4 linked regions of the Arabidopsis thaliana genome follow. The protein of the gene in region 4 purifies or fractionates together with the protein of the main gene of each other region. This does not show direct contact. Each region holds a gene or a part of one and is shown on either strand. Other genes may lie near its edges.

What was found.
Region 1: the proteins of AT5G12040 (region 4) and GSTU25 fractionate together in Arabidopsis thaliana (co-fractionation; one large-scale study listed by BioGRID). This does not show direct contact.
Region 2: the proteins of AT5G12040 (region 4) and PGM2 fractionate together in Arabidopsis thaliana (co-fractionation; one large-scale study listed by BioGRID). This does not show direct contact.
Region 3: the proteins of AT5G12040 (region 4) and GSTU20 fractionate together in Arabidopsis thaliana (co-fractionation; one large-scale study listed by BioGRID). This does not show direct contact.

What each region holds. Positions count from the first base shown.
Region 1 is NC_003070.9:5,870,276-5,873,629, forward strand, and holds GSTU25 (glutathione S-transferase TAU 25), read left to right. Parts: upstream 1-1,748; 5' UTR 1,749-1,932; coding exon 1,933-2,247; intron 2,248-2,332; coding exon 2,333-2,683; 3' UTR 2,684-2,849; downstream 2,850-3,354. Other genes in the region: GSTU24 (glutathione S-transferase TAU 24), read left to right, coding at 75-416. UniProt on the Arabidopsis thaliana protein: May be involved in the conjugation of reduced glutathione to a wide number of exogenous and endogenous hydrophobic electrophiles and have a detoxification role against certain herbicides.
Region 2 is NC_003070.9:26,668,115-26,674,721, reverse strand, and holds PGM2 (Phosphoglucomutase/phosphomannomutase family protein), read left to right. Parts: upstream 1-1,555; coding exon 1,556-1,630; intron 1,631-1,839; coding exon 1,840-2,076; intron 2,077-2,296; coding exon 2,297-2,378; intron 2,379-2,473; coding exon 2,474-2,529; intron 2,530-2,682; coding exon 2,683-2,796; intron 2,797-2,915; coding exon 2,916-2,978; intron 2,979-3,124; coding exon 3,125-3,244; intron 3,245-3,346; coding exon 3,347-3,447; intron 3,448-3,576; coding exon 3,577-3,636; intron 3,637-3,738; coding exon 3,739-3,838; intron 3,839-3,964; coding exon 3,965-4,125; intron 4,126-4,219; coding exon 4,220-4,315; intron 4,316-4,453; coding exon 4,454-4,517; intron 4,518-4,604; coding exon 4,605-4,686; intron 4,687-4,765; coding exon 4,766-4,944; intron 4,945-5,032; coding exon 5,033-5,109; intron 5,110-5,192; coding exon 5,193-5,325; intron 5,326-5,417; coding exon 5,418-5,534; intron 5,535-5,630; coding exon 5,631-5,702; 3' UTR 5,703-6,076; downstream 6,077-6,607. Other genes in the region: AT1G70740 (Protein kinase superfamily protein), read left to right, coding at 1-24, 161-347, 429-875. UniProt on the Arabidopsis thaliana protein: Catalyzes the reversible isomerization of alpha-D-glucose 1-phosphate to alpha-D-glucose 6-phosphate. The mechanism proceeds via the intermediate compound alpha-D-glucose 1,6-bisphosphate.
Region 3 is NC_003070.9:29,483,619-29,487,116, reverse strand, and holds GSTU20 (glutathione S-transferase TAU 20), read left to right. Parts: upstream 1-1,727; 5' UTR 1,728-1,912; coding exon 1,913-2,227; intron 2,228-2,350; coding exon 2,351-2,689; 3' UTR 2,690-2,997; downstream 2,998-3,498. Other genes in the region: GSTU19 (glutathione S-transferase TAU 19), read left to right, coding at 114-458. UniProt on the Arabidopsis thaliana protein: Exhibits glutathione-dependent thiol transferase activities. Can use glutathione (GSH) and 1-chloro-2,4-dinitrobenzene (CDNB) as substrates. Involved in the regulation of far-red light influence on development.
Region 4 is NC_003076.8:3,883,274-3,888,587, forward strand, and holds AT5G12040 (Nitrilase/cyanide hydratase and apolipoprotein N-acyltransferase family protein), read left to right. Parts: upstream 1-1,675; 5' UTR 1,676-1,888; coding exon 1,889-2,149; intron 2,150-2,235; coding exon 2,236-2,352; intron 2,353-2,501; coding exon 2,502-2,726; intron 2,727-3,049; coding exon 3,050-3,143; intron 3,144-3,500; coding exon 3,501-3,575; intron 3,576-3,690; coding exon 3,691-3,769; intron 3,770-3,862; coding exon 3,863-3,878; coding exon of another isoform or gene 3,879-3,896; exon of another isoform or gene 3,897-4,086; coding exon 4,087-4,167; intron 4,168-4,256; coding exon 4,257-4,339; intron 4,340-4,420; coding exon 4,421-4,499; 3' UTR 4,500-4,804; downstream 4,805-5,314. Other genes in the region: HSP17.6A (heat shock protein 17.6A), read right to left, coding at 941-1,411. UniProt on the Arabidopsis thaliana protein: Omega-amidase involved in the metabolism of asparagine. Probably also closely coupled with glutamine transamination in the methionine salvage cycle.

The sequences.
Region 1 (3,354 bases), on a different chromosome or scaffold from region 4:
TTTTGGATTGGTTTGGTTCGGTTTCTTCCGCTAGAGTCTCTTGTGTAAGTTTTTTGTTTTTACCAACGGATCAGGTGAATGTTACGGCGAGAAGGATTTGGGCGGTCAAAGGTGAGGAGCAAGAAGCAGCCAAGGAGTTAATCGAAATACTCAAGACGCTAGAGTCTGAGCTTGGAGACAAAAAGTACTTTGGAGACGAAACTTTTGGGTATGTAGATATAGCTCTCATTGGATTCCATAGCTGGTTTGCAGTGTACGAGAAGTTTGGAAATGTCAGTATCGAATCTGAGTGTTCGAAATTGGTTGCGTGGGCCAAAAGGTGTTTGGAGAGAGAGAGCGTCGCTAAAGCCCTGCCTGAGTCAGAGAAGGTCATTACATTCATTTCCGAACGTAGGAAGAAACTTGGGTTGGAGTAAATCTCTACTTTGTTATGTTGATCTGTTGTTGCTTTGTTCTATTTTCTTTGAGGTCTATGTAATGCATAATAATACCAATTTCAATTTGTGAGATTATATTTCCCTTTATGTAAACTCGATTTCAATAAAAGAAACTTTGTTGTGATGTTCATTCAATGGAGAATTGTTGGTACATTAATCTGGTTGCCATAACGGCGCTTGCTCTAATACCAAAATCGACGTAAATATATGATAAAGATTAAATTCGTTGATTCAATGAATAACCTCACATGTGAACAAGATTTGACGATCGTGATTCAAAAAATATGATTAACTTAGTTAAATAACCAGGAGAAATGCTAAACCGGTCGAAAAGAAGAATACAAGAATGAAACAAACTAAGTGAAAACTTTGAGCCAAAGAAAAAAAAACTGAAGTGAAACTAAACCGATTAGCAAACCCCGATTAAGAACTTTTTAACCAGACACATCTAAAAATCGTTGGATATTTGGCCCAAAGATAAGTCATTTAATCATTTGATTTTTGAAGTATTGGAAAAAATGTTAAAAGCAAATAGTTATTATATCTTACCATGCAAACTCATTCTACACCGTTTATTTGTTTAATCGTTTATTGGTTATTTTATTTTTGTCGTTAGATGCACAAAAGATACAAGAATGGGGACAATGTGAAATGGGAAATGGATGCCAAACACATATAATGAGATATGCATATACTCTATATTTTTAAAAAAGAGGTATGTATAATTGTATATTAATCAATTTTATTAGGTTTCAGACAGCTAAAATTTGTTTTTTTGTTTTTTTTTCGTCATCCTTAAAGTAAATATAGTCCTAACCAAAGAAAAGTAACCAATAAAAAGTTTGGAAAAAGTGAAGGTAAAAAGGTATGATGGCGTAAGCAGTGGCATAATCAATTCAACTCTGTGAATCATGTGGTCAATGTCTTGAACCGCAAAACATTAATAAATGAGTTGTTCAACTAAATAATTGTATACTACTCGTTACCAATCTCTAGGTTTAAGCTTTCTGATTTAAAATTTGTCACATAAATTTTACACCAAAATATTTATTAATTCCACATTTTAATATAAAGTACGAGAAACTTTACACGAGAAGAAATCAACATGAAATTTCAACATATAAATTACAAACCCCCTTGATAGTTTTTTTTTGGTATGTATAACCCCTTGATAGTTGATATACTCATATTCAATAACACAAAGTATTGAAGCTAAATAATCTCTGACGACTTTTAAACTAAAGCTAATGAAAAGAAAATGTTTAATCAAAAGTTTATTCCCTTCATATTAAAATGCTTTAGTGCGATGAGATTTAGTGTAATGGGCACGTTAATGCATTTCTGACTTTAGCGGCAAGCAAATGCGATTTCGTTTGTAGTTTTGAGTTATTGTCTCCTCTATAAATTGACCAAAACCTTGTTCTCTTCACCATAATATACTTAGACACAAAACAAACAAACAAAAATATCTTAGTGAGCTTAATCAAGAACAGCAATGGCAGACGAGGTGATTCTTCTTGATTTCTGGCCGAGCATGTTTGGAATGAGGACGAGGATTGCTTTAGAAGAGAAAAATGTCAAATTCGATTACAGAGAACAAGATCTGTGGAACAAAAGCCCGATTCTCCTCGAGATGAATCCGGTTCATAAGAAAATACCGGTTCTCATCCACAATGGTAATCCGGTATGTGAATCACTCATCCAGATCGAATACATCGACGAAGTTTGGCCTAGCAAAACCCCACTTCTTCCTTCTGATCCTTACCAAAGAGCTCAGGCCAAATTTTGGGGAGATTTCATTGATAAGAAGGTAATCTATCTTCCAAAAATAAGCTTAAAAATCAAACCCTTCTTAGGCAAGACATAGACGTTAATATTTCGTATAATGTGCTTAGGTGTATGCTTCAGCGAGGTTGATTTGGGGAGCTAAAGGCGAAGAGCATGAGGCGGGGAAGAAGGAGTTCATCGAGATACTCAAGACACTAGAGTCTGAGCTTGGAGACAAGACTTACTTTGGAGGTGAAACATTCGGTTATGTTGATATAGCTCTCATTGGATTTTACAGTTGGTTTGAAGCGTATGAGAAGTTTGGGAGTTTCAGCATTGAAGCCGAGTGTCCAAAACTGATTGCTTGGGGTAAAAGGTGTGTGGAGAGAGAGAGTGTGGCTAAGTCTCTTCCTGATTCGGAGAAGATCATTAAGTTCGTTCCTGAGCTAAGGAAAAAACTTGGGATCGAAATCGAATAGATTCTACGCTGATATGTTTTTATGTTTCTGTTTGTGTTGCTGTTTCTGCTCTGTTTCATGTTCTGTTTCTTCCTTGTTTCGGAAATCTTTAAGATAATGTCATCAAAATAATACAAATATTTACTTGAAAATTCGGTTGGGGTGGTTAAGCATGCGTAATACGTTGCATTAGCTTCAATTTTTTAGATCTTCATTGCGATGATAAGTCTAGTAAACCGAATTAAACCAGTACCAAGAAAATCCAATCCAAAATCTAAAACAATCGATTTGTTTTATTTTTTCTTTCCCCTTACTAATTACTATTATAGTATTATCAAAACAAAGCGTCAAAGAAAAAAAAAACTAACAAACCGACTACATTGTTGATTTTATTAAAATAGATTTTGGTGGAGTGCCAAATCTGAATAAATTATCGAGGCTGTACTAAACCAAAACTAATGAGTAATGACAATTACAATTTGTAATCTTTGTTTGATAGTCATAGACCAAATCAACTAATTTCAAACATTGGACTGAATCCTTTATAATATAGCCCATCCGAATATCCAAAACATAATGGGCTTTTGGGCCCAAAAACAAAATCAGTGTGTTGAGTTTAGCCGTGATAGTCTATTTACTTGGGTCTTAGTGGGCTTTAAAGTTTAATTGTACTATTATATTTTTCGAACCAA
Region 2 (6,607 bases), on a different chromosome or scaffold from region 4:
CAACACTCGTGTTGCAGGAACCAAGTATGCTCTCTCTATTGTTTACCCTTAAAAAGCTCATTTACATATCTTCTTGTGTCATTTGAACTCTTTTTGTTTGTTGGTGTTTCATGGTAGAATGTTATTTAACGTCCATTGCTTCTTCTTTTCTTATGCGCAGTGGTTATATGGCGCCAGAGTACGTAATGCACGGGGTTCTATCGGTAAAGGCAGACGTATTCAGCTTTGGGGTTTTGGTTCTGGAGCTCGTAAGTGGACAGAAGAACTCGAGTTTTAGCATGAGACACCCTGACCAGACTCTTCTTGAATGGGTAAAGCCTCTAGTCTCATGCTCCATTGTTTATAGGGTTGTTGTGTGATGGCCTGACCCAGCCAATATTCTTCAGCGTAATATAACCAATGCTAAATTCTTTCTGAATGTGACACAGGCATTTAAGTTGTACAAGAAAGGCCGGACCATGGAGATACTAGACCAAGATATAGCAGCTTCAGCTGATCCAGATCAAGTCAAACTCTGTGTACAGATCGGACTACTCTGCGTTCAAGGCGATCCGCATCAAAGACCGAGCATGAGACGGGTATCTCTACTTCTCTCTAGAAAACCAGGACATCTAGAAGAACCGGATCATCCTGGTGTCCCGGGATCTAGATACCGTCGGCGAACACAACGTCCTTCAGGAGCAGCATCACTTGGAACATTGTCGACCACTGGTTCCAGCACAGATTCTTTCGGTTCAAACCTGAACACAAACACGGGAACTGGTGTTAGAGGTACCCCCGCATCTTCTAAAGCTTCAACTCGGAGTAATGCCACTAGAAGTGCTGGTCAGAGCTCTAGCTCAGACCCTCACGGGAAACGACATATGAGTTATTGAAGTACATAAAATCTGGTCATAGGTGATTGTAAATAGCGAGCTGCATATATAATATTTGTTTCATAATTTATTTAATTTTGCTTTTGAAAAGTAAATTAATTTATTTTTTTGACTGCAGTAGTGATTTAGTTTTGTAGTATGATTTGTTATATTAGCGGGAAAAAATTATGATTCATTTGTTACATTTGTATATTAGAATAATCACTTGTAGTCCCATTATCTAGGTCCCCACTATTGGCCTCGTACGTATAAAAGCATATTCTCTTGTACGTATTAACGGTACCTTACTTTAAACAAAACATAAAACTAAAATGTTTTTTATGCGTTTTAAATTATTTTTCAGTTAAAATTTATAAAAAGGGTTTTTGTAAACAATTATTTTGATAGTAAAAGAAATACTAACTGAAATTAGTGGAGAAAATACACAAACATATATTTAACTTTCTTTAATTTAAAATATACAGATTTTGTTTCTTTAATTTTTTTTTTCAAATTTTAGTTTTCATTTATTTTTAAATAAAGTATGACATGTCATAATGTTGTATTTTGATTTGTCATTAAAAAGGGGGTGAATCAAATTGGTTCACTCTAGAGGTGAACTTCGCCAAAGAATCACAGACCGTCAGTGTTAATCATCAGAGACATCAACGTAATGTTCCTCTTGGTTACTTCTTGCTTTAATGTTCCTCTTGGTTACTTCTTGCTTTCTACCTGATTCAGGTTCTTCAGTTAAAGTTTCTCTTTTCATTTTTGGGGTAATGCCCGGTTGGGCCTCGTTGTTTTATTTAGGTTCTAGTTCTAGGGCCTGCGTGTCCTTTTAGGCAGTTATTGCCATGTATGTTCTTTGGGCCATTCGTGCCTCTGTCGGCTTGTTGGGCCTTGTAATCGTTTCGGCTCTATTGGAAATTAAAAATAAAATATATATACTAACCCGTTTTGGGTAAAAAGTTAGGTCCACTAAAAGACGAAAAGAGATCCTACCAAAAAAAAAAACGAAAAGAGACGAGCCACACGCGTCACCTTCTCGTTTAGCCTCTTCATCTCCTTTCCTCAGACTCACTGTGTAAAAAGGCTTTTATTTTATCATCTTCAGGCTTATTCGATTTTCTTCAGATTTGAAATGGTGTCGTTCAAGGTCTCTCTCGTCTCTACTTCGCCTATTGATGGCCAGAAACCTGGGACTTCTGGACTCCGTAAGAAGGTTCGTTCGCTTTCGCTTCTTCTCCTTGTTATATCAATCCCCGCGTTCTTATTTCGAAATTGGATTAGAGATTTGAATTCTAAATTCAGATCTTCGCAACGAAATTGATTTCTTCATTTAGTTCCGATCTTATGGATTGAATGAATTTTGTGTGTTGGTTTTAACAATTTGATCCGATCCGATGAGATTTGAATTTACGCATTGTTTCGTAATTTTACAGGTGAAAGTGTTTAAGCAACCAAATTACCTTGAAAATTTTGTCCAGGCAACGTTCAATGCTCTTACTACAGAGAAAGTTAAAGGTAAAGATCTCTCTTACCTCTCTTTGATTGTTGTTCAGGTAAAGGTCGATGATTGCAAATTCCATCTAAGAAAGAGTATTTGTTAACTTTTTCAGGTGCGACACTTGTGGTTTCTGGTGATGGTCGTTATTATTCAGAGCAAGCTATTCAGGTAAAAGCTTTATATGTCCTTTGAATGATGGCAAACTGCGTTTTGCATTAACTTATAATTCTTAGACACTTTACTCTTATTTTAGTTGTTTTGAATCTTTTATTTCATAAAAAAGATAGTTCGTCAATACCACTTTATTTCCTATCTGGACAGATTATAGTAAAGATGGCAGCAGCTAATGGTGTTAGACGTGTGTGGGTTGGTCAAAACAGTCTGCTATCAACTCCTGCAGTATCAGCTATTATTCGTGAAAGAGTAGGGGCTGATGTGAGATATCTTCCTCTAAACTCATACTACTTACTTTTCTCTTGGGTTGTTATCTAAGGCTATGCATGTTTGCAACATGTAATGACGTGATGAGAAACTAACCCGAGATCCAATTTCAGGGATCTAAAGCCACAGGAGCATTTATCTTAACAGCAAGTCATAATCCTGGTGGCCCAACTGAGGTCAGTTCTCTTTTTGTTCTCACTCTTTTGTGCTTGTTCATTCGATACCCTCACTTAGTATTATTTGAATCCTAGCATCAGTTTTGTTAAACTATATGTTCATCTCTCTGCTTCCATATGCTGATTTCCTGCTATTCTATTCACAGGATTTCGGAATTAAGTACAATATGGAAAATGGTGGACCAGCTCCTGAATCAATCACTGATAAGATTTACGAGAACACAAAGACAATCAAGGAGTACCCAATAGCGGAAGATCTACCCAGGGTACCTAACATTTCTGATCTTATTACCTGTCATCATCTTTTTTTCATCTTGTATTTGTACTAATCATGTTTTTTTGCTGGTCTTTTTGATTGAATGCAACAGGTTGATATTTCTACTATTGGTATAACCAGCTTTGAAGGACCTGAAGGAAAGTTTGACGTCGAAGTTTTTGATTCTGCAGATGACTATGTTAAACTAATGAAGTAAGTCTTTCCATCTTTGTATCTGAGAGAACAGTTCTTGAATCTACTCCCTCTATGGTCTATGCATTTAAGAGAATGGTTCCAGAATCTGCGGTATCGATGATCTAAAAGATTTGTTCGTCTCTTCAGGTCAATCTTCGACTTTGAATCCATCAAGAAATTGCTATCTTATCCAAAATTTACTTTCTGGTATATAGTTCATCAACATCCATAAATCTTTTCTTTTGAGTTTGTTTGCTTGTATAGGCTCCATCATGTCTTTGATATTTTATTTCCCATCGTTCTATGAAGCTATGATGCATTGCATGGAGTGGCTGGAGCATATGCACATCGCATCTTTGTCGAAGAACTAGGTGCACCAGAAAGTTCGTTGTTGAACTGCGTACCCAAGGTATCATTTTTTTCTTCTTTCTTATTTTGTATAACCAAGAAATATCATTTCCTGAAAGGATTATAAATACACGTTGAACAGTGTCTTTTATGATTTATAACAACACGACAATCGGACAATGTACAGGAGGACTTTGGAGGGGGCCACCCGGATCCCAATCTTACCTATGCTAAGGAGCTCGTGGCACGCATGGGATTGAGTAAAACTGATGATGCTGGTGGCGAGCCTCCAGAGTTTGGCGCCGCTGCTGATGGTGATGCAGACCGAAACATGATCCTCGGTAAAAGGTAGCAGAGACTAATTCTCTTTTAAGTGAGATCACAGAGATGTGGAGCGGATATACCACTCTCCCCGTTAACCAAAAATATCTCTTCTCCGCAGGTTTTTCGTAACTCCTTCGGATTCAGTTGCTATAATTGCTGCAAATGCTGTTGGGGCCATACCATACTTCAGCTCTGGTTTAAAAGGTGTTGCTAGGTATGCATCCCGGTTCTTCTTTGTTTACTCCAGTTCATAGATTGAAAACGCTGGACTTTGGTGTCATACGTTTTTGTTTATTATAGATAGTAACAATCTTTTCTCATTAAATTCTCAACTTTCACATTCGTATTGCAGGAGCATGCCGACCTCAGCTGCACTTGATGTCGTTGCAAAAAACTTGGGTTTGAAGTTCTTTGAGGTAGATGTCATTGTGAAGCTTTTCTCTAGCTTCTATTCATTGCAATCACGTAACATAGTCTATTGCTCTAATACTTCTATATTTTAGGTTCCAACAGGCTGGAAATTCTTTGGCAATCTAATGGATGCTGGGATGTGCTCTGTATGCGGAGAAGAAAGTTTTGGAACCGGTGAGCTTCTATTGCTAGATCTTCACATGTTTTAAAACCGTAACAACCCTACACAACTCACAAAGAAGCTTTTCGACAGGTTCGGATCATATCCGTGAGAAAGATGGGATCTGGGCAGTTCTTGCTTGGCTATCAATACTGGCTCACAAGAACAAGGAAACCCTTGATGGGAATGCAAAACTGGTGACGGTTGAAGACATTGTCCGCCAGCACTGGGCTACATATGGCCGTCACTATTACACTCGATACGACTATGAGGTAAAACTGACAAATGTCATTATTGGTTGTAGACAATATGTAGAATAACCAATTACCTTTGACCAATTTCTAAATATTTGCTCCATAGAACGTAGACGCAACTGCAGCTAAAGAACTCATGGGACTTTTGGTTAAGTTGCAATCTTCACTTCCCGAAGTCAACAAGTATCTCTCTCTCCACTTAATTTCAAATCCATTCCTTTTTACTTGTATGACTTTCAGACTCACGTTTTTGGATAATTGGTCAGGATTATAAAGGGAATTCATCCAGAGGTGGCAAATGTTGCAAGCGCAGATGAGTTCGAGTACAAAGATCCAGTAGATGGCTCTGTTTCAAAGCACCAAGGGATCCGATACTTATTCGAGGATGGATCACGACTTGTAAGTCGATATGTGTGAAATGGATTCATAACAATTCAACAACCTGTGAAATTGTAAAAGCTAATCCGGGCTTGTTTCTCTTGTTCATGAAGGTGTTCCGTCTCTCGGGAACTGGCTCAGAAGGAGCAACAATAAGGCTATACATTGAACAATACGAGAAGGACGCCTCAAAGATCGGCCGAGATTCTCAGGATGCTCTTGGTCCCCTGGTCAGATTCCCAGATACCTTAATTACTCCCAAATTTACGCATAATCGATCTTTGTCATGTTTATTAACACCAATTGTTGGTGTCTGATTTTCACAGGTTGATGTTGCATTAAAGCTGTCGAAAATGCAAGAGTTCACCGGCCGATCATCACCAACTGTTATTACATAAGACAGCTTTCAGAAGACGCTGTCTCCAATACTACTCTCATTCCAACTTCATTTCTTATGAATTTGGGTTTTGCTTTTTTCCTGTTATCTGTTATCTTACACAAGTATACTTCAATACATATAATTTTAATGGAATATACATTAGGTTGGCAATTGAATTTCTAGCTTTGTTTGGCTCCTCCAAATAAAAAAGAATTGCCACAATATTGGAGCATGTGTGGCAGATGGAGACGTAGCAAGAGTAAAAAGCGAATCCAACAATAACTGATACCTAAAACCTACGGTGTACAACTATAGATAATGGACCCGAGAGGTGGTGATGACAAGCCAGAAGACAGATGTTTATAATTTGTCTCTTGAGCTTGACCAACAAAAACATTCTGACAGTTAAAAGCTAATGTTGGGCATGAATTTCGTGAATCAGATTGTGCCATGTGTTAGTTTGTATAAGTGAGTCAGGGTTCACGGGTTCTTTCTTATTTGGTTTTTAAATCCAAAAGAAAGAGAGGCATCATTACCATCCAAACACTCCTCCCACTTTAGGCTTTCTTCCTCTGTCCTTTCTCCATATTTGTTGTCTTCTACTAAACTTTTGTCTCAACAATGACTGATGCTTTAGCTAACCATCAACATTGTAACATACAGTTGATGGTTAGCTATTTGCTATACATTTGTCTATTTCTCTTGCTTCTATAGTCAAAGTATAGAGTTAGCTCGTATAAAAAGATCAGCATTTAAGTATAAAAAAAATTAGAATGATTTTATGTATAGTATTGTCTAACTTTAGGTGAAATCACAACTGATTATAGAATCCTCGAAGAAAAATATTAAAAAATCAAAAGGCTTAATATTAGCATTTTCTTATGCAGAAATGCTTAATTAATCAAAATAAGTCTTTTCACGTAA
Region 3 (3,498 bases), on a different chromosome or scaffold from region 4:
TTTGGGGGTCTCTAGGACTGGTTTTGCTTTGTAGACATCATCTTTGAGCTTTGTTTGGGTTCGACTGAGTTCTGACATAGCTTGGTGTTATGTTACTCTGTGCAATGTTTCAGCTGTATGATGCTCAGAGGAAGGTGTGGGCGACAAAGGGTGAGGAACAAGAGGCAGGGAAGAAGGATTTCATTGAGATACTCAAGACTCTTGAATCTGAGCTTGGAGACAAACCTTACTTTAGTGGCGATGACTTTGGCTATGTAGACATTGCGTTGATTGGATTCTACACATGGTTTCCAGCATACGAGAAGTTTGCTAACTTCAGTATCGAATCTGAGGTTCCGAAACTGATTGCTTGGGTTAAGAAGTGTTTGCAGAGGGAGAGCGTGGCTAAGTCCTTGCCTGATCCTGAGAAGGTTACTGAATTCGTCTCTGAGCTCAGGAAGAAATTTGTACCTGAGTAAATATGTTTCTCTTGTCATATGGTTCGGACTTAAGATGCTCTCTGTTTTACTTTCGTGTGTTGTCTTTCTTAAATAATGCAGAGCATCTGTGAGGTGGTTTGAGTGTAGAGAATGTATGTCTTTGCTGTAGCAGATTCCTGTGTTTTCTGGATTTAATGGCTTGTCCTAGTTTTTATGCATTGTAACTATGAGTTTAATTAATGATCGTTAATCTATAATGATTATTAATTTGTTACTTTGATATGTAATTACGCCAATACGACTCTTCTACCTGACCAAGCTTATCACGCCAATGTTGCTGTAAAAGACAATAGTGCAGTTTGGCGATTAAAACCTCCAACATCGAGAATGGTAAGCCGGTCTGGATCTAATAAGCCCAAATTGGCATCCATAAGCCCAAATTGAAATTGGCATCCATAACTCCATATTGTAGTCAATTGGAAGTTATGTGGTTGATGTGATCATTAGTGTCGGTATGATCAGATTAGCCACGGGTTTAGTGTTTCTTGCCGAATTTGAATTCGGTAGATCAAATAACATTACTATGATCCGCACAGTTCATGGGATTTGAATTTGATTTACGATTACAACAACGATATTAACACAGAACTATCCTGTAATTTTTGGGATCGATTAGTAAATTTTAAAATATTATTTCAAAGGCTTTATATATATAAAGAATTTAGAGTATAAACATAGATAAAGCATTATGTATTTATAAATCTTATGCTGATATTGAAAAAATAATGGTGTATGTGATATATTTAATAGAGTGCAATACTCTCTCAATAAATTAGTATAGCTGTTATCACTCCTTGTGTAAATGCGTATTTCTTGTACATGCATGGTAAGTAGCTTGTCCTCGTATGTACCGGATTGTAATGTTTGATATCAAATCAAGGGAATCACGTGGTAAATGTACACCCACCTAACTGAGAGATAATAATACAAACAACTGTGAGTAGGTGGCCACGCCAAAAGTAGAGACTGATGCAGCAACTAAGCAAAGTATTACTTCACTCGATCAACTTTTTATTTTGTTACCTTCTTATAAATCAAGTCGATTTCTATATTGTCAAGTACTAATTCCATTCTAATCTCTTACATATACGTTTAAGGTTTGAATCAGAGCAAAAGATAATCACACTCTTTTATATTAAGTGATGTTTTCACTAGTTGCACACATATGACAATTATTTAACAAAGTTGCAAAATACATTTTAAATCGTTACGGGTAAAAGCTTACTGTTTAAAAGATTTATATATGGACCATAATATGCTTTGAAAAAAGCTGATGTGACGTAACGGGAATCAAAATCCTTTCCACATCATTTTCTTCCCCTATAAAACAACCGTCACTCACTCCTTCTCTACTATAACACACACTCGCTTGTTCACGCACAACAAAAAGCAAGAATATATACCACTTTGTGAACTTCAGAGATCCTATAGCAATGGCGAACCTACCGATTCTTTTGGATTACTGGCCAAGTATGTTCGGGATGAGGGCTAGAGTTGCGTTGCGAGAGAAAGGTGTTGAGTTTGAATACAGAGAGGAAGATTTCTCGAACAAGAGCCCTTTACTCCTCCAGAGTAATCCCATTCACAAGAAAATCCCGGTTCTGGTCCACAACGGTAAACCGGTATGTGAATCTCTTAACGTTGTCCAGTACGTCGACGAGGCTTGGCCCGAGAAGAACCCGTTCTTCCCTTCCGATCCTTACGGGAGAGCTCAGGCTCGATTCTGGGCTGATTTCGTGGACAAGAAGGTAACTAATCCCTTTTGTGCCCTAGATTTCTTAACTTGAGTCTGAAACAATGTGATTTAGGGTTATCTGAAAAAATGAGTTTGGTTCCTTCTGACATAATTCGATGTTCTGTAATGGATTCAGTTCACCGACGCCCAATTCAAGGTATGGGGGAAGAAAGGTGAGGAACAAGAAGCAGGCAAGAAGGAATTTATTGAGGCAGTGAAGATTCTTGAATCTGAGCTAGGAGATAAACCTTACTTTGGTGGAGATAGCTTTGGGTATGTAGACATTTCCTTGATTACATTCTCGAGTTGGTTCCAAGCCTATGAGAAGTTTGGTAACTTTAGCATCGAGTCAGAGAGTCCGAAACTGATCGCTTGGGCAAAGCGGTGCATGGAGAAAGAGAGTGTGTCTAAGTCTCTCCCTGACTCTGAGAAGATTGTTGCATATGCTGCTGAGTATAGGAAGAACAATCTCTGATTTGAATAATCTTGTTGTTCTCTTGTTGCTAAGCTGTGTTCTGTTTTTGTCTTTGTTTTTTTTTTTCCCCTAATAATGCGAGAGAGCCTTAGTGAATGTGTGTTGTGGTTTTTATGCATCCTAAGTATGGAATTTAAATAAAATTTGTTTCGACTTAAAGAGTCCAAGTATGAAGTCACATCCTTTTCAAAAGAACAAACACAAGAAAAAGTTGGAATTCTTTTTTCTTTTTCTACTTGTCTAGTACCGCGTATACGAAAATAGTATAACACCCAGCAATTAATAAAGTAGATGGCCACGTTACAATCATGCAAGTAGTGGCTCTGCAAACATAAGATAAAAAGAAATTGGGTTCTCAGCCACTTTTGGGAGGACATGCAGACTAAAGCACTCTCTAAACTCCGCTTAGAGGGAAAACAAAAAGACACCTCTGATCTATTATCACTATTATTAGGGTTTTTTTGTTTGTTTTTCTTTTCTTTGCTTCTTAAGAGATAATACATTGATCACTAACATAAAAGCTGGTCAGTTCCCTTACTTTGAGGCTTTGAGTGGAGACTCCACTACGGTGTGGCTCACACCAACAGTTTTTCTCTGATTATCCTTTTGTCATCAACTCACCATTCACCGAATAATATAATTTATACGTGTGATCTTTGTTTCGAAGATCAATACAATTCTATTGTAAAACATATGGTTTCGGTCATTCGATTGCTAGAAAAGAACTAGTCAAAGCTTCATATCGTTATTGCATTACTGTCATCACCATTCATAAGTTGTAAGAAGAATAGCAAAGAGGAAAATTTGTA
Region 4 (5,314 bases):
TTTAAAGAATACATTCAACTGGAAAGTACATACAATTGCTGAAGACTTGGATTACAAGTGTACAACATGCACCTCAAGATCAGAAGTTCAAAGTCTTAATGATGGAAACAAGACTAAATTAGTATATGCTCTGGTTTCTGGTCAGAAAAATTAATGAAAGACCATATTTATTTTAGTGACCAAAGAAAAATACTATATATGTGGTAGCACTAACTCACTGAATACCACTAAATCGTGTATAACGACATTAATATAAGCTATTAAAGACGGTTACAAATCTGCACAAAACTTGATTTGTCTTAAAACTCAGTTGATGTTATTTGCATTCGCAAATGCAAATTTCATTTAAAAAATAATGTAGCAGATTGAGATATCAGACTTCGTATTATACTACAGATGTAGTAGCTGAAGATTCAGTTACGTTATCCAACATGAAAAAAGTACAAAGAGTTGTTTGGATTTTAAAATCAGAATAACAAAATTGTTTCCTTTCATCTAATACTTAAAGGATAAAATTGAATATGTAAGAGTTTTTGCAGATATAATAACACTGTGTTACTGATCTCATACCCATAAATTACTTCAAGGGACATAACTCCAAAAATATATTTTGCTGACTGCAGAGATAAGGGTGAAATGCAAATGTGGATTTGATGGCCAATGTGCTAAATAGCACCAATGATATTAGGAAAGGATGAACAGTAATAATTTCTGCAAAAACAGAGGAATGACCATTCGGTGTCTTTTTTGTTGTGGTCCTATTTTTGCCTCATAAGCATGGATGGTTCAAGAGAGCAAAAACTTCATTGATTTGAAGATTGAACACAAAGACAAATATGAACAGAGAAAACTATTTTTATTTCATTTTACAACGAACACCAAGAGGTAGTTGCTTATCGATTACATTCATTAAAACACAAAAACACGATCACAAACAAACTCAAGCGACTTGAACTTGTATAGTCTTTGGTTTCTTTGGCTCAGGAGGAGGAAGTTTCGGAATAGTCACTTTCAACACACCGTCATTACAAGCCGCAGAGATCTTCTCCAAATCTGCATTATCAGGTAACTGAAACTTCCTCATAAACTTCCCCATCCTCCTCTCCATCCTCACAAACTTCACACCTTCATTCTCCTTGTTGTCCCTCTGTCTTTTGCCACTCACCACAAGCACGTTCTCGTTCTCTATCTGGACCTGAATCTCATCTCCTTTGATTCCAGGCATGTCCACGGCGAAAACGTACGCATCCGGGTGCTCGATAACGTCAGCTGGTGTAGCAGCCATTGCCTTTGCGTCTCGCATGTAAGCTCTTGAAGGGTTGTTACGAGTCTTCTCGGTTTGTTCTTCAGGGGCTTCAAGCATGTCTTCGAGGATTGAAAATATTGGAAACCTTCCAAACTCCAAATCCATTCTTAGCTGTTGTGTTAACTTTCTTGCTTCTTGGCTTTTTCTTTGGTTTGATTGATTTTGATTTTGATGTAAGAAAGTATTAAATAGAAGTTGAGTTGGATAGTTCTAGAGCAATGTAGAGAGAGCGATTGTTTCGGTGTTATAGAACTTAAAAGCGCTTCTCTAACGTTCGAGAAACGTCTTGATCGTTGGAGAAGTGTAGATGGATATTTCTAGACGAATGTAGAGAAAAGCGATTGATTCGGTCAGGCCCAAGACCAATTCGTTTTCAGGCCCATATGTATTCTGTTTTGGATTTAGTAAGGATGTTAAATTTATCCGGTTTGGTACGATTTCATTCGAATTTAGTGTATAAAATTGATTGAACCGCGTCAATACGGTTGAAACGCAAACGCAGAGGATTCATGAGTCATGGCTTTTGTGAGGTGAAGTATCAATATCATCTACCTACCTATATGATCATCGGACTAAAGTGAAATGAAGTCAGCAATTTCATCGTCACTCTTCTTCAATTCGAAGAATCTTTTAAACCCTAATCCTCTTTCTCGCTTCATTTCTCTCAAATCTAACTTCCTCCCTAAATTATCTCCGAGATCGATCACTAGTCACACCTTGAAGCTCCCATCTTCGTCAACCTCAGCTTTAAGATCCATTTCCTCTTCCATGGCTTCTTCTTTCAACCCTGAACAAGCTAGAGTTCCCTCTGCTCTTCCTCTCCCAGCTCCTCCGTTGACCAAAGTTAGCTCCTTTCTTTTCATTTACCTTTGGGTTTTCAATCATTTCAGCTTTTGATTGATTTCTTCGTTCCATGGGTAATTTTGTAGTTCAACATCGGATTGTGTCAGCTATCTGTTACATCTGACAAAAAGAGAAACATCTCTCATGCTAAAAAAGCCATTGAAGAAGCTGCTTCTAAAGGAGCTAAGCTTGTTCTCTTACCCGTGAGTTTTTCTTCTTTGTATCTTAGCTCATAGCTCTTTGTGAGTTCAATTCTAATGTTCTGTTGCTCAAATGTGTAAAATTTACAAAAAGTATGAGCTAGTGGTATCGTCTCTATGGGGTTTAAAACCATTCAATGGGTTTGTTTCAGGAAATTTGGAACAGTCCGTATTCCAATGATAGTTTTCCAGTTTATGCGGAGGAGATTGATGCAGGTGGTGATGCTTCTCCTTCAACGGCAATGCTTTCTGAAGTTTCCAAACGTCTCAAGATTACAATCATTGGTGGATCTATACCAGAAAGAGTTGGAGATCGTTTGTATAACACTTGCTGTGTCTTTGGTTCCGATGGAGAGCTAAAAGCTAAGCATCGGAAGGTTAGATTTTTTGAGATTAAACTTTCATAGAAGAAATAATGAACTTTCCTCTGCTTTAGGCCATAGAATGAAAGATGCTAATCTTACTTCTAAAATCGTTGTTCATCTTTTATCATCTGTTTTTAGGATCTAATAGACTTAGAATCAGTAATTAGAATGATGTGGTAGTTATGTTCTGGTTCGAGTTCTTCCTCTATGATTCATAAGGACAAATTATGAGGCGAGATGGCCTTGACCGTTTTATGCTTATATTATCAATTCTCAGAACATCTTGTTTTTGATTGCTTGCACTTATTTGTGTTTGTACTTGTGTGTGCATACAGATACATTTATTTGATATAGACATTCCCGGGAAGATTACTTTTATGGAATCCAAAACTCTTACTGCTGGAGAGACACCAACAATCGTTGACACAGGTTATAATCTTGGTTTGCCAAATATAATTCCAGGTCATGCATAAACAATCATGTATCTTACATAAACTCATTGTGGTACTATCTAAAAATAATAATTTAGGATTAAGGATTTAAATTTCCAGTCAGATTTGGGATCTTCTTAGCTCAACAGTGAAATGATTCATTTTCATGCTGGCCTAGTGTTTATGAATAATAATGTTTTTAAGATCTTGCCAACTATTTTGACTGGGGAAATGTCTTTATTGAACAATCAAGTCATAGTAGGACCGTTCACATCACCTCTCACTTTCTAGTACTTATGAGAAATCTTTAACGCGGTGCAGCGCTTGAGAATGATAGTTTTGTTGGTTGTTGCAGATGTAGGGCGTATTGGAATAGGCATCTGTTATGATATCAGGTTCCAGGAGTTAGCTATGATATATGCTGCAAGAGGTGAGTCTTCATATCATAATGCTTTATCCAAATGGACTATCTGCTTCCTCTCTTTTTCGGGTCCATTACGTTTTAAAGAACCTCATCACCCACATGTTTACTTTAATCATATCAGGGGCTCATTTGCTGTGCTACCCGGGAGCCTTTAACATGACAACTGGACCATTGCATTGGGAATTACTACAAAGGGCCAGGTATGATTCACAGTCTACTACATTACGACTTTCTTGGCTTATTTAATCATGGGTAAATCACAATGCTCATCGATCTGTTTTGTTCCATTTCAGGGCTACGGATAATCAGGTACATGAACCAAGTTAAATACTTGTATTGATAGCCAAAAGAGAGATACAAGTTCTGACATTTCTTAATGAATTCATAGCAAACCTGCATTTTTCTTTGAGTTATCAATACAAGTATTATCTTCTGCTCTTTGGGGTTAGTTTTACTTAATTGACTGTTATCAAAGTCATGGACCGGTTAATAGAACTATGTATGCTACTTTCTCCAGTTATATGTGGCGACATGCTCACCTGCCAGAGATTCAGGAGCTGGCTACACTGCTTGGGGGCACTCAACACTCGTTGGGCCTGTAAGCACTAAACTTTTTCTGTGTTACTTGATTGATAATGAAGCTTTTAGCTGATCACTAAACTTTGAAACATATATATTATTTGACAGTTTGGAGAAGTACTAGCAACGACTGAGCATGAGGAGGCCATTATCATAGCAGAGATTGATTACTCTATCCTTGAACAACGAAGGTAATCACGGAAACACCAGAACTTTCTTGGTTTTTGATAGCGTGATCCGCTAACTGAATCTCGTTTTTTTTACCATCTTAGGACTAGCCTTCCATTGAATAGGCAGCGGCGGGGAGATCTTTACCAGCTTGTAGACGTACAGCGCTTAGACTCTAAATGAACGCAGCAGTAACTGTATATCTGAGAGATATTGCGAGTTGAGCACGATTTGGTTACTTACAACTTCATGCATGATCAGTCATTTCTCCACAACTTTGCTGAGATATGTAAAAGAATAAAAATCAAACTTTTGAGTTAAAATCGAACAAAGGCAAGTAAATTCTGCTTAGATAATGTGAACTCCACCCACTTGCCATGTGTTTGTTGTTTATAAACTTCAATGCATTCTGATAACAATGTAGACTTGTGATTCGCAATCAGAATAGCATTTGACTTTTTTATCAAAATATATACACTATTTTTGTGAATTTCTCAGTAAATGTCATTGTCTATGAAAAAAACAACTCATATCTTCATTCCACAACCATCATATTCAATATCGAGTACTTACTTAAACTAAAATTGTTATAACTGGTTCTTCAAATGTTCACACCTACTCAAAACGTTTCATCACATAACTCAAGTCAAGTCAAAGATAGCCATGGTATATTTTGCTACACATCAAGATTTGTAATATGCAATGTAATTTGTTTTAGATGAGAAGAAGAAAAGAGTATATAGAGTATGCAGATAGGTTCATCCACAAGCACAAGTGGGATATAAAAGATTTGAAAATGAAATAACATATAAACTTTTGTCAGCGGCCTCAACATGATTTGAAGATCCGTGGTTATTGTTGAATGATAAATGACCGGACGACAAAATGCAGTTACAACAGCAGAAGCCTTACAAGATTCACCACAGTGTGTAGTGGTTTCGTCTTTGGAGAAGACACGTGGACCAAGCCTATAGGGTAAAGAAAGACGTAGAGTGGTC